7 linked regions of the Macaca mulatta genome follow. The protein of the gene in region 4 interacts with the protein of the main gene of each other region in a pairwise test. Links are inferred from orthologs where the notes say so. Each region holds a gene or a part of one and is shown on either strand. Other genes may lie near its edges. The genes, in order: UBTD1, LNX1, C2H3orf62, MRFAP1L1, HTT, TXN2 and PSMA1.

The links.
Region 1: the proteins of MRFAP1L1 (region 4) and UBTD1 interact in binary tests that used the Homo sapiens proteins (3 or more experiments, as listed by UniProt). The two-hybrid records come from large-scale screens. The link is inferred for Macaca mulatta from reciprocal best matches to the Homo sapiens genes MRFAP1L1 and UBTD1.
Region 2: the proteins of MRFAP1L1 (region 4) and LNX1 interact in binary tests that used the Homo sapiens proteins (3 or more experiments, as listed by UniProt). The link is inferred for Macaca mulatta from reciprocal best matches to the Homo sapiens genes MRFAP1L1 and LNX1.
Region 3: the proteins of MRFAP1L1 (region 4) and C2H3orf62 interact in binary tests that used the Homo sapiens proteins (3 or more experiments, as listed by UniProt). The two-hybrid records come from large-scale screens. The link is inferred for Macaca mulatta from reciprocal best matches to the Homo sapiens genes MRFAP1L1 and C3orf62.
Region 5: the proteins of MRFAP1L1 (region 4) and HTT interact in binary tests that used the Homo sapiens proteins (3 or more experiments, as listed by UniProt). The link is inferred for Macaca mulatta from reciprocal best matches to the Homo sapiens genes MRFAP1L1 and HTT.
Region 6: the proteins of MRFAP1L1 (region 4) and TXN2 interact in binary tests that used the Homo sapiens proteins (3 or more experiments, as listed by UniProt). The two-hybrid records come from large-scale screens. The link is inferred for Macaca mulatta from reciprocal best matches to the Homo sapiens genes MRFAP1L1 and TXN2.
Region 7: the proteins of MRFAP1L1 (region 4) and PSMA1 interact in binary tests that used the Homo sapiens proteins (3 or more experiments, as listed by UniProt). The two-hybrid records come from large-scale screens. The link is inferred for Macaca mulatta from reciprocal best matches to the Homo sapiens genes MRFAP1L1 and PSMA1.

The regions. Positions count from the first base shown.
Region 1 is NC_133414.1:109,608,562-109,611,135, reverse strand, and holds part of UBTD1 (ubiquitin domain-containing protein 1), read right to left. Parts: intron 1,526-2,574; exon of another isoform or gene 1,225-1,525; coding exon 997-1,224; intron 1-996. UniProt on the Homo sapiens protein: May be involved in the regulation of cellular senescence through a positive feedback loop with TP53. Is a TP53 downstream target gene that increases the stability of TP53 protein by promoting the ubiquitination and degradation of MDM2.
Region 2 is NC_133410.1:80,049,242-80,053,318, forward strand, and holds the end of LNX1 (E3 ubiquitin-protein ligase LNX), read left to right. Parts: intron 1-2,282; coding exon 2,283-2,441; intron 2,442-2,829; coding exon 2,830-2,965; 3' UTR 2,966-3,577; downstream 3,578-4,077.
Region 3 is NC_133407.1:112,712,889-112,716,982, forward strand, and holds the start of C2H3orf62 (uncharacterized protein C3orf62 homolog), read right to left. Parts: upstream 2,801-4,094; 5' UTR 2,599-2,800; coding exon 2,153-2,598; exon of another isoform or gene 1,562-2,152; coding exon of another isoform or gene 1,539-1,561; intron 453-1,538; coding exon 361-452; intron 1-360. Other genes in the region: USP4 (ubiquitin carboxyl-terminal hydrolase 4), read right to left, coding at 4,030-4,094. UniProt on the Homo sapiens protein: Essential for normal spermatogenesis and male fertility.
Region 4 is NC_133410.1:6,327,361-6,331,425, reverse strand, and holds MRFAP1L1 (MORF4 family-associated protein 1-like 1), read right to left. Parts: upstream 2,686-4,065; 5' UTR 2,436-2,685; coding exon 2,052-2,435; 3' UTR 501-2,051; downstream 1-500.
Region 5 is NC_133410.1:3,412,755-3,416,254, reverse strand, and holds part of HTT (huntingtin), read right to left. Parts: intron 2,538-3,500; coding exon 2,423-2,537; intron 2,267-2,422; coding exon 2,053-2,266; intron 1,680-2,052; coding exon 1,574-1,679; intron 1-1,573.
Region 6 is NC_133415.1:15,073,161-15,076,660, reverse strand, and holds part of TXN2 (thioredoxin, mitochondrial), read right to left. Parts: intron 1,073-3,500; coding exon 949-1,072; exon of another isoform or gene 1-948.
Region 7 is NC_133419.1:50,928,508-50,932,490, reverse strand, and holds the start of PSMA1 (proteasome subunit alpha type-1), read right to left. Parts: upstream 2,801-3,983; 5' UTR 2,753-2,800; coding exon 2,750-2,752; exon of another isoform or gene 2,363-2,749; intron 1,412-2,362; coding exon 1,367-1,411; intron 358-1,366; coding exon 256-357; intron 130-255; coding exon 26-129; intron 1-25. UniProt on the Homo sapiens protein: Component of the 20S core proteasome complex involved in the proteolytic degradation of most intracellular proteins. This complex plays numerous essential roles within the cell by associating with different regulatory particles.

The sequences.
Region 1 (2,574 bases), on a different chromosome or scaffold from region 4:
GTGACCAGGCACAGTGGTTCCCGCTTGTAATCCCAGCACTTTGGGAGGCCAAGGCGGGCGGATCACCTGAGGGTGGAAGTTCAAGACAAGCCTGACCAACAAGGAGAATCCCTGTCTCTACTAAAAATACAAAATTAACTCGGCCTGGTGGCGCATGCCTGTAAACCCAGCTATTCAGGAGGCTGAGACAGGAGAATCACTTGAACCTGAGAGGCGGAGGTTGCAGTGAGCCAAGATCGCACCATTGCATTCCAGCCTGAGCAACAAGAGTGAAACTCCATCTCAAAAAAAAAGAAACTCAATTCTGTGATTCTAGAGCTCCACTGTTACCCTCTGCTTTACATGGCCCCATAAGGCTACTATGAACTTATGTGAGCTAATGCAGTGGAAGTTTCTAGATCAGTGTCCAGCACATAATGACCCAATAAAAGGTCAGTGCCTTTGGGAGGTCAAGGCCAGTGGATCACTTGAGCTCAGGAGTTTGAGACCAGCCTGGCCAACATGGTGAAACCCGGTCTCTATTAAAAATACAAAAATTAGCCAGGCGTGGTGGCACATGCCTGTAATCCCAGCTACTCAGGAGGCTGAGGCAGGAGAATTGCTTGAACTCAGGAGGTAAAGGTTGCAGTGGGCTGAGATCCCACCACTGCACTCCAGCCTAAGCGACAGAGTAAGACTCCATCTCAAAAAAAAATAATAAAAAATAAAATAAAGGTCGGTGCCTTGGATGTTCTAGGGTCCCAAAATGCATTTGTGACACTGCTTTACAAGTTTGTTGATGTCTTTCTGTCGTGTCATTAGGCAAGCACAGACTGTGTCTCATTTTCTCATTTTCCTTGTGTACCCACTCCTGGTCCATGCTCAGTAAGGGTTGCTTGAAAGAATGAACACGTGAGTAACCACCTGCCCCACCGCTCCACACCCCTCAACACCCTCAAACTGTGCTGGTGACCCCCGAGTTCCAGCGGGGATAAAGCCCTGGCCCTGTCCACTTACCATGAGGCAGGGTGATGCTGGCTCCATCCAGGATGGCCTGGGCCAGCTCGTGGTCGTTGGCTTCAGCAGCATAGGCGGCGGCCTTGAGGGCATCCCAGATCTCCTTGCGGCCCTCAAAGGCAGGCGCTGTGTCCCAGAACTCATCCCGTTTGCTCCGCAGCTGCCCGTCAGTCATGGGGTAGTCGCTCTTCCACTTGAGCCGCTCTTTCTTCAGGGGCTCATTGCGTCCTGGGCAGGACAGAAGGAGAGGCTCAGCATCTCTAAAGCTACTTGAGCTGCAACCTGCCCTCCCCCTCCCCTACCCTCCCAGGCCAGACCCTGAAACCCTGCTGCACTGGCTACTAAGTATTCAGGTCTCTGAAGCCCTTCCTAAATAGCAGGGAAGAGTCAGGAAACTTCACATAACCAACCTAGGGACATAAAATAATTGTGTCAGCAAAGCATATGCTACCATTGTTTTTGTTGCTTTTTTTTTTTTTTGAGATGGAGTTTCACTCTTGTTGCCCAGGCTGGAGTGCAGTGGCATGATCTCAGCTCACTGCAACCTCTGACTCCCAGATTCAAGCGATTCTCCTGCCTCAGCCTCCTGAGTACCTGGGATTACAGATGCCCACCACCACACCTGGCTAATTTTTGTATTTTTAGTAGAGATGGGGTTTCACCATGTTGGTCAGGCTGGTCTGAAACTCCTGACCTTGTGATCCGCCCGCCTCGGCCTCCTGAGTGCTGGGATTACAGGCGTGATTGAATGAATGATCATGTGGGGCAGGGCACGGTGGCTCATGCCTGTAATCCCAGTGCTTTGGGAGGCAGTAGGATCGCTTGAGCCCGGCAGTTCTAGACCAGTCAGGGCAACATGGTAAAACCCTGTTTCTACAAAAAAATTTTAAAAAATTAGCCAGGCACGATGGCACGCTCCTGTAGTTCCAGTTACTACTTGGGAGGCTAACATGGGAGAAATCACTTGAGCCTGGGAGGTTGAGGCTGCGGTGAGCTGTGATGGTGCCACTGCACTCCTTCCTGGGCAATAGAGCGAGATCATGTCTCAAAAAAAAAAAAAAAATTATTAACAATTTTAACATCTTGTTACTAATGTCCCACTGTATAGTCACAAAGATTTTTTTTAAAAAATCGTAATCAACAAACTCCCCAAAAAATTCCTGCAGCATCTGACAAATAAAACAATTCTGTCAAATGTCATTTTTCTTGTTACCCAGCTCCAAGTGACCTCCAAGACAACTCCAAACCACAGTCAAGACTGAGGGCAGAGGCATCTCTCAAAGGCTTTTGGAGGCTCAGTCATCTCAAAACTAAAGGCAGAGTGAGCCACAGGAGTGAGATGTGAAGCACTCTGCCTCCACTATAACTCAGGTCCTACGCCGAGAGGCAGAACTAAGGCTAGGGGCCACCACCAGATTGCTCCCACTGGCTGGGGCAAAAGGAAGAGAATAGCAGGCACTGACCTCCGCTGAGAAAGAATCCCAGGCAAGGCTTTATTTATATACACGATCCCATTTCATCCTTGCTTAGGCAGTAGGTATTACTATTGCTATTTCACAGGTGATAGGACAGATTTAG
Region 2 (4,077 bases), about 74 Mb from region 4:
GCAGACTTAGTTCAAAGTCAGTGTTCTCAAATATGTATTGACTAAATTAGTAGTATAAGGGGATATATAAAAATTTAGGAAAAAACTTAGCTTCTTGAGCAGCTCAAGACTTCACCATTCTCATTAACTCATTTCAGTGGAAATCAAATGAGTCACCACACTCATTAACTCATTTCATTAAATTTGTTCTTGAGGTAACCATAATTTTCTCATTGGGAAAAACTACCAAACTCTTTATACTATGCCGAATCTTTTTCGATAGGCCTAAATTTAGAGAATGAGTGCAGAATAGGAAAGAAGTCCACATTTACATTCAAAGTTTAAAGCCACCTAGTATCTGAGGTCACTGATCAAAAACAGCTGCCCATTTCCCAGTGGGAAGTAAAATAACCCAACTTAAGAAAAAAATGCCCACAAAGTCAGATCAAGGTCTGACTTTGCAACGGGTTAACATAAGGAGGTCTCACTGCTGCAATAAAGTTAAATACACAACACCAATAAAAGAAAGCATTTACTTTTTAAGGAAATAAAACAAGTAACACTGGTATCAACTTGAATGGATGCTTCAGGAGGGCAGGGGATTTTGTGTTTTGTTTAAACATCTGCAGAAAGATGATCAAAGCAGGGTGTTCTCTCCAGTATCAAGAGGTAAGAAAATGGACACACTGTGACTTACTGGGTTCAAAGCTTTGAACTAGAACATGTAATGTTTTAGATGGTTATGTTTACAGCTTCTCCATATGAAATATTCAGTAAGAGTATACTCATTTATATATCAAACTGGGCAATGTTAAAACTGGTATTTGATCATGACCTTGGATAACAATCATCTAATTCTTACCTTTCTCCAAAAAATTGGGCACACATCCTCCCAGGTGGGAATGTTAATGCTTTGGTATTTACAGAATAGTCAGTTACCTGCTTTGTACATGAGGAGTCAGTGAACCATTATGTAAAATGTGTATCTGACACACCACAGCTCCCAAAGAATGAATTTACCACTGACATCAAGGTTTACTGTGAAATGCAGCAGATACATATTTTACAAAATATGAAATTTAATGAAATTCATACTTTTAAGCAATCATTTCAGTAAAAGAAATTGTTATGATGTATATGTATGACAATAGATTCAGAACTGGTTAGAGTTGAATTTCAGCAATACATCTTAAAGGTATTTGCCAAACAAACCCTAAAGCTCATTTTATTTCAAGTGAAAACACCATCATGAAAAAAAGTCATGTCACATTGACTAACAAGGTTGGTAACAAATGTAATGATCAACTTTATCACTTAACATTTCACAAGACTTTTTATTGGTTCTAAAAAGCAATTAATATTTTAAAGGTACGGTATATAAACAAAATAGCCATATCTTGATTTTTGGCAACATGAAAAGGCCAATTTCCTTTCAAAACAATTCCTGGACTACAGCTACAAATGTGGTGAACAACGTCATATAGAGTAAAATTCAACTCCTGACACACACTTCTATGGCAACTGTAACATAGTTAACACTTGGCCTGTACCTATATGAACACTGATTCATTAGGGGCCAGTGAATAAAAATTTCTTCAATCTCATTTGCTATTTTAGTTGAGGATTCTACTAATTTACAGAAGAGCTGGGCCTTTCCTTCTCCCATTCCTTTTATAACTTCCTATCCAGTTTCCTGCAGTTTATTTTTCCTCCTATATGAATTGTTCTTATAATCTTTAAATGTATCTGTTTCCGTTCACTTTATGCCTGCATGCTTCTCTATGACTTGCCAAACATGTAGAACTGGGTGTAAAGTGGTATTTTTCCAAGGTCAAAAAAAGTATACAAATTCATTTATTAGGATTAGGTTTAAATTGCTTTCATTGAGATTATTCAAAGGATTTTTGCCTTCATTAAAAATTATATCAAGTAAATATTATATGACATCCATGTTTGTTCACCAATAAGGATTTAGGTTTATCCAACTTTTTGCTAATACAAATTCAAGCATTGTCTTAAGTTAAAAATATGATTATCGTTCCCAGTAGATGTATAACAGAACACAATAGGGGGTGTCAGTTTTTTAAGGATATTCAAAATTATGGAAAACAGAGGTTCAATTACAAAAAGCCAGCTAACGGCACAAAGGTCACCAAGGTACGATACAATTTTGAGTGGGACCTATGCAGTGCTACTTAGCCATTAAAAATGCCAACAAAAGGAATGGGGGATGAATCACAGTTAAGTATTCCCTTAACTGTAACACTTAAATGTGCATGTACACTGACTACATTCTATTTCAGGTGCTTGTATAACTGTAAAGACATTATATTACGAAGAAACACAGCTGGAAGTCTGGGCTTCTGCATTGTAGGAGGTTATGAAGAATACAATGGAAACAAACCTTTTTTCATCAAATCCATTGTTGAAGGAACACCAGCATACAATGATGGAAGAATTAGGTAATAAAATAATGACTAACCAAAAAAACTTGTATTAAATGTTGTTTAATAAATGCCAAAGCTTGGCCTCATTTGAGATAAGGCATGTATTTATTATACTTTGTGGGGAGTTAAAGTATTTATGTAGCATTCAACTTCTGAGAAATCCAAAATAATTACACATATTCTTAGTCCCATACTACAACTCCCCATACTTTTAGCATTCCTTCTAACACAAGCTGAGTGGATAGTGAGTTTGGAGAATGTAAATAAGAGGCAAGAAATATCTAAATTAAAAGCAACATAATTAAAATGATCAGATGCAGCAAAAATTAGGACCACTAAGATAAACTTGCATTAACTTCAGCAATGAATTAAAATACTAATCATATCTTGGTTTTTTTTTTAGATGTGGTGATATTCTTCTTGCTGTCAATGGTAGAAGTACATCAGGAATGATACATGCTTGCTTGGCAAGACTGCTGAAAGAACTTAAAGGAAGAATTACTCTAACTATTGTTTCTTGGCCTGGCACTTTTTTATAGAATCAATGATGGGTCAGAGAAAAACATAAAAATCACAAATAGGCTAAGTTGAAACACTGTATTTATCTTGTCAGTTTTTATATGTAAATACACTGTTAAAATGTCAGGAAAAGTATGATCTAATGAAAGTCAGTTACACCTCAGAAAATATGATTCCAAAAATATTAAAACTACTAGTTCTTTTTCAGTGTGGAGGATTTCTCATTACTCTACAACTTTGTTTATATTTTTTCTATTCAGTAAAAAGCCCTAAACAGCTAAAATGATTTGTATACCCCACTGAATTCAAGTTGATTTAAATTTAAAATTTGGTATATGCTGAAATCTGCCAAGGGTACATTATGACCATTTTTAATTTACAGCTAAAAGATTTTTTTAAATGCATTGCTGAGAAACAATGCTTTCATCAAACAAGAAATAAATATTTTTCAGAAATTATAGTTGTCTTTTAGTATGTGATACTAATTAAGATTACTTGTATTATTACCATTTAAAAGATCCTAGTAATTTATCCTTGCAAATACCATGTTATTTGTTACCATCACTGACAAATGTGTTCTAGGGCTATCCCTAAAAATGCTCAGAGAATATAAACTTGTTTTGTTTTAGTAATGGCTAAAGCTCTTTTTTCCACAATCGTTAGCGACTGTATAAAAACTTGCGCTGCTCCACCAGTGGGCCTTGGGAAATGCATCAAGGCCAAACCAGCTTGACCCTGGCTCATAGACATGGTCATGAGGCTATTTAAATTTGTGCCACAATGAAGAGTGTTTGTACACGTGCCTCCTAGAAACTACACTAAGGGTAATTTATTTCATAGAGCCCACCCAAATGCCTTATAGGTTTTATTAATTTGGATATGAAAGTGTACCCCATTTGGTTTCACCAGGAACCCAAATTTAGAACACTGAAAAGCTATCAAAAAGTTGTGATATCAAAAATGTGTAAGTCTCTTAATATACTAAGCAAGAGTGTCACAGCAGTAATGATAAAGACTAGTTTTAGTCTCAAGCCTTAGAGGGGCCCTTTGTTGCCTTTTGTGGTGCAGCCTCTTACGAGACTGGTGTTTTGTTTGTTTGATTAACAAAACTGTGGCCCAAGTGGAACCTTGA
Region 3 (4,094 bases), on a different chromosome or scaffold from region 4:
ATTTTATATTTTTTAGTAGAGATGGGGTTTCACCATGTTAGCCAGGATGGTCTCAATCTCCTGACCTCGTGATCCGCCTGCCTCGGCCTCCCAAAATGCTGGGGTTACAGGTGTGAGCCATCGGGCCCAGCCAATTTTTGTATTTTTAATAGAGACGGGGTTTCATCATATTGGTCAGGCTGGTCTTGAACTCCTGACCTCGTGATTTGCCCGCCTCGGCCTCCCAAAGTGCTGGGATTACAGGCATGAGCCACTGTGCCCGGCTGAGAGTGTTTCTTAAATCTGAGATACTTGCTGACTCAGACCCATGTGAAGGACCTATCTTCCCAAGGACAGGATGGACTGGCCCACTGTACTCACCGATCATTTCAAGCAGATCCTTTGTGACCTCTTGGCTAGAATTGTTGAGTGCCATGTTTGAGTCAGCCTTCAAATCTCTCTCCATATCTTTCCTGCAGCCCCCAGGTTGGGGGGAAGAAAAGGTGGGGAATTAGATTCTCTTTCAAGAAAATATTGAAGGGAAACTCAGTTTTAGATAATCTCAAAGACAAAAACTTACTGGTGATCTTGTCATTTATGCTTTGATTAGAGGACAATTGGAAATTGCTACGTCAGTGGAGAAACTGACTAACAGCTTTACCATAATAACTCACATGACTGTATTACAGACTCACATGACTGTATCAGACTGTATTAATTTTTTTTCTTTTTTAGAGACAGGGTTTAGCCATGTTGCCCAGGCTGGTCTCGAACTCCTGGGCACAGACGATCCACTCACCTCGGTCTCCCAAAGTGCTGGGAATACAGGCATGAGCCACCTCACCCAGCCTGCATTTGTTTGTTTCATTTATTTATTTATTTTTATTATTTTATTTTATTTTTTTGAGACGAAGTCTCACTCTTGTCCCCCAAGCTGGAGTGCAATGGCGCAATCACAGCTCACTGCAACCTCTGCCTCCCGGGTTCAAGCGATTCTTCTGCCTCAGTCTCTGGAGTAGCTGGGATTACAGGCGGCCACCACCACGCCCAGCTAATTTTTCTATTTTTAGTAGAAACGGGTTTCACCATGTTGGCCAGGCTGGTCTCAAACTCCTGACCTCAGGTGAGCCATCCGCCTCAGCCTCCCAAAGTGCTGGGATTCAGGCGTGAGCCACTATGCCCAGCATTTTTTTTTTTTTTTTTTAGATGGAGTCTTGCTGTTACCCAGGCTGGGGTGCCGTGGCAAGATCTCAGCTCACTGCAATCTCTGCCTCCTGGGTTCAAGCAATTCTCCTGCCTCGGCCTCCCGAGTAGCTGGGATTATAGATGCGCGCCACCACGTTCGGCTACTGTTTGTGTTTTTAGTAGAGACAGGGTTTCACCAGACCTCAAGCAAGCCACCCACCTCAGCCTCCCAGTGCTGAGATTACAGGCGTGCCACCACACCCAATAAGGCCTGCACTGCTTATGAGTACCAATTTATTTGTGGAGTTGAAAGGAAAAAAATTTTTTGTGGAGCTGAATGAATTAAATGGCCTCTTTATTCCCTTCCTATGAAGCAGCCAAGATGGCAGAACTTTGAAGCTTCATCTCTTATGTTCATCCCTTCTCCAAGTCAAGCTGTCTGGGACCAGGCAATTTCAAGTTACTTGAGAGAAGAAAAAGTCTAGAGGAGACCTGGTGATGGTCCAAAAAACTCTGGGGTAAGAGTGGGGAGCAGAGGCAAAGATAAGCCAGGAAGTAGGGCCCAGACTTCAATTCAGCCTCTCCCTAATGTGGGCAAAGGAGGGTATCAAAGGCCCCAGTGTCCAGATTCAAACACAGAAGTTAAGATGGAATTAAGACTTTTGTTTCTGCAACTTAAAAAATAAGGTTATTTTAAACACCAGGTTATTTTACATCCACTACCCCTTTGGGTACTGCAAAGTGGTTTCCATGACTGGTTTGACATCAACGATTGACAACTAGCCCCTCAACTGGAACACATACACAAAATATAACTGTTTCCTAGGCCAGATTCTGAAGAATGTCTATGAACTCCCCAAATGCAGTCACAGAGTTGCCAAGAGGAGGTAAGAGCACTGTCATGAACTAAATCTAGGATCTTCAACAATTTTTTCAAAAACAAGAATCCCCTTAATTGTAGCTGTTAAGCTATCAAAATTAGAATCACCTTAAATTTTCTTTTCTCCAGTTTTCCCCCTCTCCTGCAGTTCTCCAAGACTCTCTTTCAGATGCCAAAATGGAGGAATGCATCAATACATTTTCCTTGCTGGTCAGAGGTTTTCTCTCGGGGCACAGAGCATGTGGTTTTGCATTTACCGAGGCATGGTTTGTTGCAAAGGCAGGGTTCTCATTCTCAGGAGCACATGGGACAGCAGCAAAAGGAACAGCAGAGGAGCAGGCTGCCAGAGGATGTCTTCTGCAGAGGAGTCTGTGCACGGGCAGCGAGGAGGAGAGCGGCGCAGCGCTCAGTTCCAGCCTCCGCTGGCCTGTGCACTCCTGGGAATAACTAACTCCTTCAAAGGCCCGGTCAATGGCTGCAGTCAGTTCCTTTCTGCATCTTCTTAGTTTTTCAGACATTTCTCCTAAAAGCGACCATGTCTTTATGTAATGCATTGGAAATGCATAGGGCAACACAATAATGTTACAAATAAGGCTGCAAACTACCCCGAACGGCCACGATTTCCCGGAGCTTGGCCCTGGCTACAGCAGGACCCACAACCCTCGGGCTTTCCTCCTGGAGTAGGCGGTTCTCGGCTATCGCGGAGGAACCCGCGATCTGCCAGAAGCCCCAAGGACGCCCCGCCCCACTTCCCACAGCTTCCTGGCCCGCCCAGCTACTGCCTCTCGCCCCACCGCGGCTCCCAGGCCGCCCGGCCGTACCCCGCACCCCGCCCTCCGACAGGTCGCAGCCACGTCCTTGTCTTCACCCGCAGCGCAGTGACGCCTACCCAGCCAACGGTCATCGCATGCGCGCGCCCCGCGCAGGCCCCAGACCCCCACGGATTAGGTTAAAGGTCAAACAAAAAAGCCCAGACCCGTATGTCCGGTTCCTTAAGGCCTTGTGGCCCCACAAGCAGCAGCTGGCCCCTCGGTGGGAGTGGGGACGGGTCTTTCGACCGGGGTCCCGGTAAGAGTCTTGGCAGGGATGAGGAAAGAACCTGTTCAAGAAAGCATCTGGGTAACACCAAAATGTATTACTACCCTAAATCGTCATGAACTGGAGCCCTTTCCAGGCTGACAACTCCCACAAAGATTTCTGTTCTCAAGCCAACATGGAAACAACTGGATGGGACACAGCACCAGGCAGTTTTATGTACTGACTTCCTTTAAGTGTTACCTAATAAAAAGTGTGTTATCTAATAAAAGTTCCACACAGCATTTGACCGTCTTAATTCATCTAGGGTAGCAGGGGATGTAACATAACTGCTGGGTTCCACAGGAGGTTGAGAGGCCAGGATCCCCAACACTAAATATCTTCATTTCCTTAGCGGGGAGAAAGCTGGAAATTACAAGATGACTCAACGGAGAAATGGGCTTCAGTGGGTAACTTTCAAAAAATTATAAACCCGTATCAGTGCACATAGCGAGGGAAAGGGGAGTTTACTTGAGGCTTGGGTTACTGTGAGCAGACTACTTGGGGTGACTAGTATCAGCATCAGAACCAGAAATCCAGGCGCTCAGGGCAGCCCTGCAGGTGGGGTGGGTCTCCAGGCTGCTCCATACTCAGCGCCTGTGTTTCTCTCCATTCTTTGGGATCCATCAGACATACTCCATTGTGTACCCCCATCCCACCCCCTTTTCAGCTTCACAGGTTTCACAGAAATTTCTCACCACCTGTTTAAAAATAAAAATAATTCAGCCTCTTGACATAGCTTCTTCTAGGTAAACGGTCTTTTTTTTTTTTTTTTCCCCCTTCTGCTCATAAAAGAAGGGTATTTCCTTGTCTGGTTTTTGGACAGAACACTAGCAGTCTGCAGAGTGTCAAAGATGTTCTCCTGGGGGATTATGCTGGTGCTGCAGGGTGGCAGGATCGTGGAGTCAGCATCAGTTGGTGTCCATGCTGCAAGCCTCATCATCCCCCATGCCCTGCTGACAGCTGCTTGGTCGTG
Region 4 (4,065 bases):
TGGCCGTCTCCCCAGTGCTGGAACTCAAAAGGCTTTTGCTCACTTTGATCCTTATGCCTTATATGTCTTCATTCATTTCTACTTTTCAGGCCCAGGTAAGTCACCTGCTCTGAATTCACACACTTCCCTACTAAGAGTTGACTCCCTCCTCAGGGCTCCCACATGATATCCACACACTCTATATCGCAATTCCTTGTTTCCATTTCTGTCCCACACCTTCGTCCCATCCACGTCTCACCTTTATGTTCCTAGTGCCTTGGATAAGATATGAAGCACGTTACATTCCCACTGGTTGACTAAACACACTTCTGCTGCTGAAAAGCAGGGGCTTGGCCCAGAGGATAGCCGAAAAGTTTTTCTCTTCAGAACTGAGTGTTCCGTCAGCTCATCTCCACAGCACCTTCCAGAAATAATTCTCCCTCAGTTAAAGGCTGACCAAGAGCCTTTAACTACAAGCAGTTCAACCCCATTTGATGACACTCAGTGAAGAACATCCATTTCAAAAAGATTGATTTATGATTCTTTTATTAACACACACAGGAGGGGCTTTGGTCATGTGAACAAAAAATTTATTTTTTAAAAAAGGCTTTTTAGGTCTTTGTTTTTCAAGGCAAATTAATACTTACTATACGTTTGACTTTGACCTCCAATCTGACAGGTCTACTACCCTGATGAACTGGAAGAGACTTTCCAGGCCCTGATAATGTCTTTTCCTTTCTCTGGCCTCTTAAAGCTCTTTGTAGACTGTCTCTTCGATGCCATTCTCTGATGCCCCTGTAATGTGTGAGGGTATTACGACAGTTCCTAATCAAACTGCCTTGTCATAAAAGGTCAGCTATGTGGTCTAAATCAACTCACCTGACAGGTTACACAATATATATCAGACAATGTGCCACAAAACATAGCTCTCCTCTTTCATCTCACAGAGGAACTAAAGTTCCAAAATATATACAAAACCACCTTCCATCTCCAACTGTCTTCTCGTTCTTCCCAGCTTTATGCAAAGCAGTCTCATTAATACATTCTTCACCAGGCTCAACCAGGCAGCGTAGTATCTTCCACTGCACCTCTAAAGTTGGAAGATTCTGATCCCAAGTCTTGACGTGTTCCCAAAAACGATCAGGTCACAAAGGTAACAGCAAAATACAAGGCCATGCCCAACATTTCAAAAACACAGCGAAGTAACAAGAGTAAACGTGACCACGAAAACAACTTAATTAAGCCCCATTTCTCTTGTGAAAGTATTTCTTCGACAAAAGTTGTATTTCCAGAACCAAACACATTTGATGATCTAAATCCATATCGAGGTCATCAATCACTGACCATAAGGGAGACTGTTACATGGGGGTAAAAAACATACAAAAACAAAACAGAGAAAATGACAAGCTGTTTCAGTTTCCTCAAGGTGTCAGTTCATCCTTACCAGTCGACTACAGTCCTCAGCTGTGAACCTAAAGCACAATTGGGAGAAATTTACCATGAAGACATTGACTCTCAAAGTTCCATATCTTGATGTTAAAAATAAATGTGAACCACCCAGAAGAATGCCACTTCTTTGAGACACGGTCCTCTGACATACCTGTCTCACAGAACAGTCTGGAAATTTCAGGTAATGGCCTCTGGCTTTACTCTTTTATTTCTTTCCCTGCGTTCTCAGCCTGCGTTCCATTGTGCTCCACAGCCTAGGTCTTCTGTGGCTTTCCCCAAACTCCCTTAGTGCCGAGACAGGTCTACTTCCTGGCGACTGCCCTATTAGAACTGACTTACGTTTCACAAAAACAAACCCGAAGTTACTTTTATTTTTCTCTAATTACCAGTGTGGGAGGGAGAGGCCACAAAAAAACGGTATACTAACACCTAACAAAACCAGCACGCATTCTTTCCTCTTGACCCCAACTTTGTTCCCAATGCTCAATTTTTGATGCGATAAAATGGGGGATGCAGGCCTAGAACATAACTTTTTACAGGGCGCGGTTTAACCATGCTTAGGGCGACTACTGAGTTCCATCCAAGCTCCCGCGAGTTTCCGACCTTACCGCCGATTTCCTCCTTCAAGAAGACTCGCTTCTCTCTATTCGCCAGACGAGCTCGACCAGCATCTCTGCCATCTTCGCAATCTCCTTGGCCTTCTCCTCAGCCTTCTCGCACAACTCCGACACTCTCTCGTCGGCTTCGCCACTCGGGTGCTGCACGTGATTGAGGGCGCTCTCCTCCGAGGCCTCTACCTGCGTTTTGATCTGGATGAGCATATTGTCCATCTCCCACAGCTTGCTCCTGGTTCGCAGGTACGCCCGCCCGTGCTCGCGTATAAGAGACGCGATGTCCTCGCGCATCTCGTTGATGACCGGGAGCAGGAACTGCTCGAAATCCTCCTCCGGCTCCAGCACCTCCACTTCCTCAGGCGCTTCCACCTCGTCTATGTCCAGGGGCCGCATCTCCTCCTGCCGCTTCTTCAGTACCGGAGGGGCGTTCTTCTTACCGGAACCCCCCAGGGACTGGAGATCAGCAGTGATTGCTGGAGGCTGAGCCCACACGCTTTGTCAATAGTACTCCCGAATTATCTTTAATTTTTTTCTTCCTTTTAATTGTAAGCCTTTAGCTTTGGAACTCCGTGGGAAGAATCGCCGTGGATACACACAGCAAAGCGACCTGCGAAATGGAGTCGCAGCCGTCAACTCGCCCTCGGCCTTTTTGCGGCCCTTTCACGACAGAGCCGGGCTCCTTTACGGTCACGCCTTCGGCGAGACCCAGTAGCGGGCGCGCGCACGTAAAGGGGTCTCGGGCGCGCGCATGGCTATGGCCGTCAGCTTCCCGGCGCCCCGCCTCGCCCTCTTCTCTAATTTAGATTGGTGGCGGCAGGTTTGTTCGCGTCTTCCCCTAAAGCTTCCCTTCAGAGGGGTTTTACTTTTATTATTATTTTTTTAAAGTAAAAATGACCCTCCCTTCCGCATATTTGAATAAGACTGGCTGGCGTTCACAGCGCTTACTATCTAAGCATGCAGAAGCTTGGATTAATTTATATGAATTCACTTAGCCCTCACAACGAACCTATAAGAGAAGTAAAAACCGGGCTAAAAGTCGTGATTTGAGCTCAAAGCAATGTGGGTCCACAGTCCCTGCTCAGTGTTCTAGAATGGAACTCGTCCCTCTGTCCTCCCCACCCCTGGCTCATACTTTTGTTCTGGGGGGAATTTCGCTCGCTGCCTTGGGTGGTTCTGGCCCGTGATTTTTGGTCTCTCTTCAGAGTCTGTAAGGTCCTCAAGGTAAAGGGCAACTTCTGTTTCAGTTCTGTCCTCCGCCCTTTCCGTCAGCCTGGCGTCAAGCAGGGCCTTAGAGAATGCTTTAGAGAGAGGAATTGCCTAGTACCTAAGTGCCTCTACCAGACTGGAGGCTGTTTGGGGACAGGTTCTGGTCTTGGTCACCTTTATGTCCCTCCACACACAAGACCTGAAAATGAGCAGGGACCTAGTAAATGTGGCTTTGATCGTCAATACGTTTTGATCACCAACCTAATGCCATTGTGGAATGGAAGAAGTCTATTGCTAGGCTTAGTCACCCAGTGCCACACTAGTAGTAATATGAGTGTGTGTAGAGGGGGGATCCTTCTTACACAAGTGCCACAGATCAGAACTTCAGTTTTCCAGTCTGATAAAGACCAATGGCCCCAGCCTGAATATCTGTCAGTGGGAAGAGGGATTTGTAAGATGACGTGTGCGAAACAGTTTTGCAAACACCAACATTCTAGCAGATGTTCATCAAAAGAACATTAAGAGGGAAAGAGCAAGGCACCGTGAAAAAAGATATTTGACTCATGCAGAATATATTGAGAACTCCTACAGATCAAGAAGGAAAAGACAAAATTTTAAAACAGGCAAAAGACATAGGCTGGCACTTCACAAAAGAGAATATCCGAATGGCCAATAAGTATATGAAGAGGTTTTCAACTTCATGATTCAACAGGGAAATGCGGATTAGAAAGCACAACGAGGAAGCACTGTACATCCACTAGAATTACTAAAATTGAAAATACTGACAATACCAAGTATTGGGGAAGATGTGGAACAA
Region 5 (3,500 bases), about 2.9 Mb from region 4:
CTACCCGCCCGCAGACCCTCGCCCAGCAGTGGCATGGCGGCTGCGCTGAAGACAGTGCTCCACGGAGGGAGATCTGTGGTCAGCTCCAAGGTGCCTCCCTGCGGCGTCTGGAGGGCGGTAGAGCGGAAGGCATGCACCACGCTCTCTGGAGCACTCGCCACCTAGCACTGGGTCCACTAGACCACAAGCCCCTTGAAGGCCAGGACTGGTCGTGGCGCCTCCCTGTGTCCGTCTGCCAGCTGTGGTGGTGCTCAGTGAGCATGTGGGAACTGAAGAATGATGCAGAGGTGCGTTTTAAAATCGACATGGGGGCCAGGCACGGTGGCTCACGCCTGCAATCCCAGCACTTTGGGAGGCCGAGGAGGGTGGATCACTTGAGTTCAGAAGTTCGAGACCAGTTCGGCCAACACGGTGAAGCACTGTCTCTACTAAAAACACAAAAATTAGCTGGGCGTGGTGGCACGTGCCTGTAATCCCAGCTACTCGGGAGGCTGAGGCAGGAGAATCGCTTGAACCCGGGAGGTGGAGGTTGCAGTGAGCCGAGATCGCGCCATTGCACTCCAGCCTGGGTGACAAGGGCAAAACTCCATCTCAAAAAAAAAAAAAAACATGAAAACAGACAAGCACAGGCTCAGCTGTTCAGAACACCTCATCTGGCCAAAGAATAGAGCAAAGTCCACCTGAGTATGCTCTTGAGAAAAGCCAAATGGCTCCCCACTGGACACCCTGATTGGAGAGCACAGGCAAGGCAGTGCAACAACGCCCCAGATCCGCCATGTCGCCAGGACTGGGACACCCTGATTGGAGAGCACAGGCAAGGCAGTGCAACAACGCCCCAGATCCGCCATGTCGCCAGGACTGGGACACCCTGATTGGAGAGCACAGGCAAGGCAGCACAACAACGCCCCAGATCCGCCATGTCGCCAGGACTGAGGCCTGAGAGCAATCAGGGAGCCTTGTCCTTAAGAAAAAGCCCTACGAAGCTCCTAACCCACTTCCAGAGCAGGGGAGCGAAGCCAATTCTCAACACCAATTCACGCACAGCAGTGGGGCGGAGGGGTAGCGAGGAGAAGCCACTGACCACACGGGTCTCAAAAGATGCATGTGTGGGTTTCACCTTCCTCCTCCTGCTGCTGCCCCTCACCCTGCTCACAGGCACCATGGACCCCCTCCCACAGACCCCCGTGGGCTCCCCTCTCACGACAGGCAGCCAGGCTGAGCCAACTCCTCATCACTGCGCAGGCTTCTGCCGCACCCTCCCAGAGACTGGTCATTCCTGCCCCCTGCCATACCCCACACGGCCAGGTGCGGTGCCTGAGCCCTCAGGAGAGATGGGCAGGCGCTGGGACAACCTTGGAACTGGTCAACACTACACCTGAGCGCTGGGGTCCAAGGACCACCAGCTCGCCAGTGGAACCCTGAGCCAAGGCAGCCCACGGTCAGGCTGTGGTCAGGAATCACTGGCGGGACTCCAGCAACAGCGCCAGGGGATCAGCCAACACACACAAACGCTCAGCTTCAGGCCAAAATTCTAGGGAAGCTAACGGCTGAGGGATGGGGCTTCGTTTCTTACCTATCAAAAAGAACAGACACCCGCTCCATAGCAACAATCACCGACTCGCTGTCTGGGGCTGCAGGATTAGGGTCTGAAGTTCTACCCGGACTGACTTTCTCCTTTCCTGTAATAAAAGTGTTCAGTACGAAGGTTACATCTATACAACCCAACAGGCTCTGTAGATAGTGCTTTGTACACAGGAGTCCAATGAATCACTGGAGAAGACCTGACAGCAGGTGATGTGAGCCCCTCGCTAGCCCAGGACCCAGCACAGCTCAGCCACATGGGATGAGTGACCAGAGGGGTGGTCAACCCTGACCAGGTACTCCAGCCCTGGGGGCTCCAGAGCCTCTCTTGCAAGGTGATGGGGCCAGCTTGGGGCAACACTAAAAGTGTCAAATCAGAGGACACCTAGTCTAGGTTCCTTGAGCGAGCATGCTCCTGTCTCCCTTGAACAGGACTTGGGCTGGCCTTGCGGGCACTGTGTACATGCTCACCTGTGTACATGCAGGTGAGCATCAAGCCCAGAGCCGCCATGGCCCGGTGCGGGCTGTGCACGTTCACTCTGTCCACACTCAGCTTGACCAGGGATTCTGCATCCAGGCGGGAGAGCTGCTCAGAGAGCAGGAGGCGCTCCAGGCCTCTGAGGGCACAGTGGTAAATGATAGAGGGGGTGGACTCCTCACTTCCGGACAGCATCACCCCACACATCTGCACAGGGAGAAAGGTTTCTGTCGCTGCATGGTCTCAGGTGTTCATGCCTCCTCCCCACCAAGTCAAAACTGGCCCACTGGTATGATCCCGCAAGGAAAAGAGAAGGGAAGCCCACTCCCCGTGTGCAGAGGAAGACAGTCAGGGCCCACTCACCTGTATTATTGATGCTGAAAATTCTGGCCCTACGTCCAGAGGATAGTTCTCAATCAGGTAAAACGCAGTGGCACACATGACCAGTACGTGCTGCTGGCTGTGAATGTTCACGCAGCTGAAAACGGGAGACAGCAGCCAGGCTCAGCCGCCCCCATCCAACGTAGAGAGGGCTTCGCAGCATGCCCAGCCACACGCGGGAGTGAAGAGCTGCGGGCCAGGCTGGCTCCCGGGAGCACCTACCCTGTGTGGCTCCCCAGGCCCCTGTAACCTGGCCTGACCCTTCAGCCTCTGCTCGACCCCTCCCTGGATAGCTGAGCCCGTCTACCTCCTCCACGCCCTGCCCTCTCGGCCTGGCCCAGCCTCCCCTGTGGCCACCTCCATACTGGCCACCACAGACTTCCTCTCTCTGTCCCTCAAAGAGGCCCTGGATTCCCACACCCCAGGCCAGTCCCCTCTACTTCCTGAGTGCCCTGTGCTTTTCCTTCGTGGCACATTCCACCATGACGTGCTGCCTTGTGTGATCCCCCGACAGCACCTGCCTTCCCCATGGCACAATGGGGACCCGGTAGCCAGGGACTGAATGAGTGGCCACTGTGAACAGAGGAGCCAATAAGATGCCCCCCTCCACCCACAGAAATGTGCCCAGTGATGCTTATATCCATCACCACGTGATCCCACCTCTACCTCGGAGGCATGTGACACAGCCCGTGCCCATGGCACTGAGGCCAGCCCCACACACCATTTCTACCTGGATGCCACAAGCTCTCTGCATCCCAAACGCAACTCCTGGGCCACCTCAACTCTCCTTTCCTGAGTCCTCCATGCCCACAGCAAGAGCCATAGACGGCCCAACACGCCAGCACAGCCAGGGCTTTGGCCTGTGCCTGGGGCCTGTTGTGGGGCTGCCCCCCAAAATCACCTCGCTGCACCAACGCATGTGCCTGATTTGCAGGCCTGTGTCCCCCGTGTGACTTGCCCTATGCCAGGCTCCAGGGATGCAGAGACAGTTGCCAGCTGTCCGCCTGTCCTGCGTCCTGCTAGCACAGCACCCACCGCCCAGCAAGGATGACAGACGAGA
Region 6 (3,500 bases), on a different chromosome or scaffold from region 4:
ACTCTCAAATATCTGCTGAATAAATGGACAAACCAACCAACCAACCAAGTGAGGCGACTCCATGCCTTTGTGCACGCTGTTTCCTCAACCCTTCCTCCTTCTCTGACATCCTTCATGGCTCAACTCAGAGGTTCTCTCTAACGTGAAGCGTTCCTGTCCCCTCCAGCTCCCCCACAAGCAAACAGTCCCTTCTTCCTTTATACGTCTCTTCTTTTAGCACTCCTCACCCTATACGGAGATGATCTTTCTACCTGCTGTTCTCTAGGAGTTGCCTGGAGACAAGACCTCATCTTATTTGTGTCAGAATCACAAATGCTTGCACATCGAGCTCCCAAATGACTGCTCATTGAACATGTGGGTAGATGAATAAAGGAATGTACCAATGTCCGAGACTAAGAGAATGACCTGGTGTTTTCGGGTCGTACTATCTACTTCCTAAAGGTGGCGAAGAGACAGGTGGCTCAGAGGATCAACAGCCACCTCTGCAAAGTGCTCTGAGCTACTAAAAGCGCTGGAAAAACAGGCCGGGTGCGGTGGCTTATGCCTATAATTCCAGCACTTTGGGAGGCCGGGGTGTGCGGATCATGAGGTCAGGAGTTCGAGACCAGTCTGGCCAACGTGGTGATACCCTGTCTCTATAAAAAATACAAAAAATTAGCCAGGTGTGGTGGTGTGCGCCTGTAGTCCCCGCTACTCAGGAGGTTGAGGTAGGAGAATTGCATGAACCTGGGAGACAGAGGCTGCAATGAGCCAAGATCACACCATTGCATTCTAGCCCAGGTGACAGTGAGACACCATCTCAAAAAAAAAAAAAAAAGCTCTGGAAAAACCAAGACACCTTGCTTACTGGCTACCTGGTCCTCCCCAAGATATCTCCTACACCAGCTACCCCTGGGCCCAACACCCCCTACATTGGTTGCCCTGTGGCAACCCCCTGTCAATCCATACCTCATACTCAATGGCGAGGTCTGTGTGGTCATCAATATCCACCTTGGCCATCACCACCTTCCCGTGCTGCTTGGCCACCATCTTCTCTAACCTCGGCCCCAGGATCTTGCAGGGCCCACACCACCTCAAAAGGCGAGAAAGGAAGCATCCAGTCAGTCAAAAGACCGCTCAGCATCCCCTACTGGCTTCCCAGACCTGCATCTTTCCAAGGAATCTTTTGCCCTTATTATCTCTGTCTACCACGTTTAAAAAATAACAGGCCGGGCACAGTGGCTCACGCCTGTAATCCCAGCACTTTGGGAGGTCCAGGCGGGTGGATCATGTGGTCAGGAGATCGAGACCATCCTGGCCGACATGGTGAAACCCCGTCTCTACTAAAAATACAAAAAACGAGCCGGGCGCGGTGGCGGGCACCTGTAGTCCCAGCTACTCGGGAGGCTGAGGCAGGAGAATGACGTGAACCCGGGAGGCGGAGCTTGCAGTGAGCCAAGATCACTCCACTGCACTCTAGCCTGGGCGACAGAGCAAGACACCGTCTCAAAAAAAAAAAAAAAAAAAAAAATTAACACACCAAATGGTAATGCCAGGAGATTCTGCACGTGGGAAATCTTCACAGATCCCAGACTTCTAAAACACAGGCCTCATCAGAAGACTCTTAGAATAAAAGTGACTTATTTCAGTATATTTCAGATAAATATACTGTCATATAAAAGAATATGGGATTGGGGCCGGGCACAGTGGCTCAAGCCTGTAATCCCAGCACTTTGGGAGGCCGACGCGGGTGGATCACGAGGTCAGGAGATCGAGACCATCCTGGCTAACATGGTGAAACCCCGTCTCTACTAAAAAATACAAAAAACTAGCCGAGCGAGGTGGCGGGCGCCTGCAGTCCCAGCTAATGTAGTCCCAGCTACTCGGGAGGCTGAGGCAGGAGAATGGTGTAAACCCAGGAGGCAGAGCTTGCAGTGAGCTGAGATCCGGCCACTGCACTCCAGCCTGGGCGACAGAGCGAGACTCCGTCCCAAAAAAAAAAAAAGAATATGGGATTGGAAGTTAAAAGGTTCAAACAGAGGCTCCTCACCAACCAGCCGATTATTCTGGGGTCCTAGTTTCTTCATCTGAAAAAGAGAGATTATGGCTCTCAAAGCTATTAGGAGAGATCAACTAAGGCAATGTGGGTAAACATGCGTTGGAAGCTGCGGGGTTATTGCAAACACCATGTGGACTCAGAACTAAAAGGAGGGGAACCAATGGCCAGGAGTGTCTACAACGCGCCAGTCCCTGGACAAGCACTTTTTCTGCTCTTACCAAACACATCCCTCAACTCTGCAAAGAGAACGCACCTTCCAAAGAAACTGAAGCCCATACGAGTTAAGAAACCAGTGCAAGATTAGAGAAGCACAGCCGGGATCGATCATAACCCAAAGCTGTGTTGAAAGTGTTTTCTTTAGCCGGGTGCGGTGACCCACGCTTATAATTCCAGCACTTTGGGAGGCCGAGGCAGGCGGATCACCTGAGGTCAGGAGTTCGAGACCAGCCTGGCCAACAACATTGTAAAACCTTGTCTCTACTAAAAATACAAAAATTAGTCAGCAGTGGTGGTGGGCACCTGTAATCCCAGCTACTAGGAAGGCTGAGGCAGGAGAATCGCTTGAACCTGGGAGGCGGAGGTTGAAGTGAGCTGAGAGATCATGCCACTGCACTCCAGCCTGGGCGACAGAGATTCTGTCTCAAAAAAAAAAAGAAAGTGTTTTCTTTCACCCACAGGCTACTCTGTGATCCCACAGCCCCTGAGTTGACCACTATCACTGCCCTGATCACAGGTTCCCCTCTTGCTGGGGAAGCTCATCCAGGACAGGCCTGGTGCTGTCATCTCTATGTATGTGGCACCAAGGACAGTGCCTGGCAAAGAATGAACAACTCACACCCCACTTCCTTACCAAACAAAATGAGGCACTACCCCATTTATCGTGCATTTCGGAAGCCCTCTCTGGAATGCTCACTACACCAGCAGGCCAAAACAGTTCCACCCTTCACAAACCCCTGGCTGACAACTCCTATTTTATTCTCAGCACTTATTTATCTATTTTTGAGATGGAGTCTCACTCTTTTGCCCAGGCTGGAGTGCAATGGCACGATCTTGGTTCACTGCAAGCTCTGCCTCCTGGGTTCAAGTAATTCTCCTGCCTCAGCCTCCTGAGCAGTAGGTGTGGTGGTACATACTACATCCAGTCAGGCCTGAGGGTTTTATTTATTTTTATTTTTTATTTATTTATTTTTTTTGAGACAGAGTCTCGCTCTGTCGCCCAGGCTGGAGTGCAGTGGCCGGATCTCGGCTCACTGCAAGCTCCGCCTCCCGGGTTTACGCCATTCTCCTGCCTCAGCCTCCCAAGTAGCTGGGACTACAGGCCCCCGCCAACCTCGCCTGGCTAGTTTTTTTGTATTTTTAGTAGAGACGGGGTTTCACCGTGTTAGCCAAGATGGTCTCGATCTCCTGACCTCGTGATCCACCTGTCTTGACCTCCCAAAGTGCTGGGATTACAGGCTTGAGC
Region 7 (3,983 bases), on a different chromosome or scaffold from region 4:
GTTTATTTTTCATGATTATACTTACCATAACAGTCTAGCATCAGCAGTAAGCCCCGCAATTGAGATACCAATATGGTTGTCAACATGGAGAATTTTTTTCTGATGAGCTGCAAGCTCTGATTGTGCCCTCTAAATGGAGACATTATAAGATGTTAAAAAAAAAAATGTAAAAATAAGTTTACAACCTTACTGTCTATGGTGAAATTTACATTAATAGTTTTTTACAGAGGAAGACATATTTATTACTTTACTTACTTTCAATGCAACCAACACTGCATGAGTTTTTGATTTCAGACCAACTGTGGCTGAACCTTGTTTAACAGCTTCCATTGCATATTCAATTTGATGAATCCTGCCCTAAAGAAAAAAAAAAACAAAACCACATCTTAGAAGGCCTTTTATAACTTAAAAATTAGAGTTTTCAAATGTCAGGTGGGCATAGTTAAATCTCAACTGATTTTTTTTTTAAATCAAGAAACTTTTTTTTTGAGACAGGTTTTCACTCTGTCACCCAGGCTGGAGTGCAGTGGCACAATCTTCAGCTCAGTACAACCTCTGCCTCCTGGGCTCAGGCAATCCTCTCAAATCACCGTCCCCAGTAGCTGGGACTATAGGCAGGCACCACCACGCCCAGCTTATTTTTGTATTTCTTGTGGAGACCAGGTTTCATGTTGTTCAGGGTGGTCTTGAACTCCAAGACTCAAGCAATCTACCTTCCTCGGCCTCCCAAAGTGCTGGGATTACAGGCATAAGCCACTGCGCCTAGCCAAAAGCTTCTTTTAAAATAAATTTTGTTGTATATACTTAAGGTATGCAACATGATGTTGTAAGATACACATATATAGTAGGGTCACTATCGCAGAATGAACACATCCATTGTCTCACATACTTACCCATTTTCCTCTGCTGTGGCAAGAGCTATCAACTACTCACTTAGCAAAAATCCTGAATACAAAACACTACCTGCATTATTAGCTGTAGTCTTCATGTTGTACCTTAGATCCTTCCACTTGCTCAACCTACATATTTGATACTTTGTATCTCCTCTTTTTTCCTCCCCACTGCTATTCCCTACCCTGGTAACCACTGTTTTATTCTCTCTCTCTATATATTTGCTCTTTTAAACAAAACATTCCACATATAAGTGAGAGCATGAAATATTTTTCTTTCTGTTTCTGGCTTATTTCACTTAACATAATGTCCTCTAGGTCCATTAGGAGACCTATTTTAATTATAAATGCAACTTCCAAGAACGACTAAAATATTATATTCCATTTTCCCCAAGCCTATGCTCTCACAAGCTTCTAAATATATTGCAGCCACAAAAAGCCATTTCACAGAAATAGTTTAAAAAACATTATTTTACCTGCGGGCTCCAAACAGTGACATCATTGTCGTACTGATTTCGAAACTAAAAGTAAAAGAAAAAAAGACCTGTTAATAGAAGAACATTTCAAATCCCAACTCTAACATTCATTAAGAAATATGCTTGTGTTTCCATTCAATGTTAAGGCACTCTGTTCATGCAATCTTACTGGAAGATTACTACTGTACTCAGACGTAAGCCAATTCTACATTTACCATAAACTGGTGGGAGAGGGAGAAGCAGATCTAAATGGGTCCTATTTTTCCAACCTCTTATTCTAAAACCCTTCATAGCAATCCCTTTAGGCTCAATTACTAAAGTTCACAATCAACTTTCTTGCCTATTTTTGCTTATGCTGCTCCCTTTTATTGGGACCTAATAAATGGTTAAAAGCCTTTCTCTTCTTTAAGTTAGCTTAAATGTCGATTTCTGGAAGTCTTCTCCTTTTCTTCCCAAATCCCCCTAACACATACTCCCACAGTTCTTTATCTAAACGTCCCTTTCTGTTTTTATGATTAGCTTTTCTTCCCAAATCCCCCTAACACATACTCCCACAGTTCTTTATCTAAACGTCCCTTTCTGCTTTTATGATTAGGGACATGTATGACTTTTGAACGTTCACTGTAGTTATGCTTGTACAAATGCTCTGTCTGTATATTCATATTGAATGAACAAAAATGTCCTCAGAAAGTTAGAGGTGGACACAAACAGCTGCAGCGATAGAACCATTACGGCTATTATGACTATTATAATAAGTCTAGCAGTGCTGGGGAGACTAATCACGGGAGTGAGATTGAGTGCGAGCACAGCACTGGAAACCCAGAACCCTATGTTGTAACCCAGATTCCATCACTTCCCTTCTCAGCCTCGGCTTACTCATCTGTAAATAGGTGACTGGACAAAATTATTGAAAAGGGCCTCTTCTAACCGAAGTCTAGGGGAGAGATAAATCAGACGGACCCACCAGGAAAACGGACGCGGTCCAGGAACACAAACCTGGGGGTCAAGTCCGCACTGGTGGTACAGGTAGGCCTCCAAGTCTCTGTCTTCTCCTCTCCCATACACAGCACTAGGGGCTATTCTGGACCGCTCAGAATCTACTCCACTGAAGGAACCTGAGGGGCGAACTCATCTAGCTGACAGAGGAGGAAGTGTCGGAGGCTCCCCGGGAAGCGAAAGCGGTGGAAAGGCCGCACTGGCTACCGACAGCCCCTAACCCGGCCAGGCCGGAGATGCTGAATCACTGCCGGAGCCCGGCCGTCTGCCGAGGCTCCCATACCTCGTGGCCCCGGGCGGCGCTAAGGATGACAGGAGAGGTGGCTCGTCATCCCCGAGTCACCGGAGCTCTGCCCTAAACCTTCCAGAGGTCGGGATTCAACGTACCATGTTGGCGGCGCGGGCCTGGTTGCGGCCTCCAGCAAAACTGAGAATCAAGGAGGTGCTGCCGAAAGTATCGCTCAGCGATCTACAGAGAAGTCTGCGGGAGTCTGATGGCGGCGGCGCAGGGTAGCGCAGTCTATTCCAGAGATATCGATAGGCTTGCAACACTTCCCCTTCCTTAAAACTCTCCGACCGCTCGGCGGCGGGCGGAGCCTGGGAAGATCTAGTAACTGAGATTGGCGGGAAACCCAGGGCTGGGAGTGCCGGCGGCTGAGAGCTGCGGGGGACCCCCTGTCACGTAGCCCTTCTTGGTTCCTGTGTATTGCGGATTCCCTCCAGTTTCTCCCGGTGGCGGGCTGCATCTAAAGTCTTACGAGGCAACAGCCGTGACTCCGGGTGATACTAGCTCTCATTCACCGTCCACAGATTTTGGGGTGTTACGTGACTGAAAGAAACGAGGCTGCAGGAAAGCCCCAAGATAACGATCCGTTTCTGTGTGTCAGCCGTATTCTTCCTCGAGTATCTTGTTTGTGTACATGCTTTTATTTGTATTAAGGTTGGTGCAAAAGTAACCGCGGTTTTTGCCATTTGGCAAGATACCTTGGAATGCTCTTCCTTATTCCCTGGAGATGTTATCTTTCAAGGCTCTGTTGTCTTTAACCCCTCATTATTATTATGATTGGTTTCCTCCACCAGACTTTGAACTCCATGAGGGCGCTGTCTTTCTGTGTCCTCAAAACCAAGCATGATACCTGATTAGGCCACTGAGAAAAAATGGACACGTTCTTTCGACTTACCTATTTTGTCTTTTGAGAGCATCTTTCCGTAATGAAATAGTCTGACATCTTTGCAAACAGCTGCCAATCTAACATCCACCGGCTATTTACATTCTTTGTAAAAAAAGAGACTGGGTGCGGTAGCCTGTAATCCCAGCACTATCGGAGGCCGAGGGCGGAGGATCGCTTGAGCCCAGGAGTTCGAGATCACTATATTATTTTAATACAGTGGGACCTCGTCGCTACAATAATAATAATAATACTAAAATAAAAAAGGCTGGGCATGTTGGCATGCGCCTGTGGTCCCAGTTACTCGGGAAGCTGAAGTGGGAGGATCTCTTAAGCCCGGGAGATCGAGGTTGTAGTGAGCCGTGGTCGCGCCATTGCACTCCAGCCTGCCTGGGCGACAGAGATTCTGTTTCAAAAAAAAAAAAAAAAAAAAAAGGCCGGGCGCGGTGGCT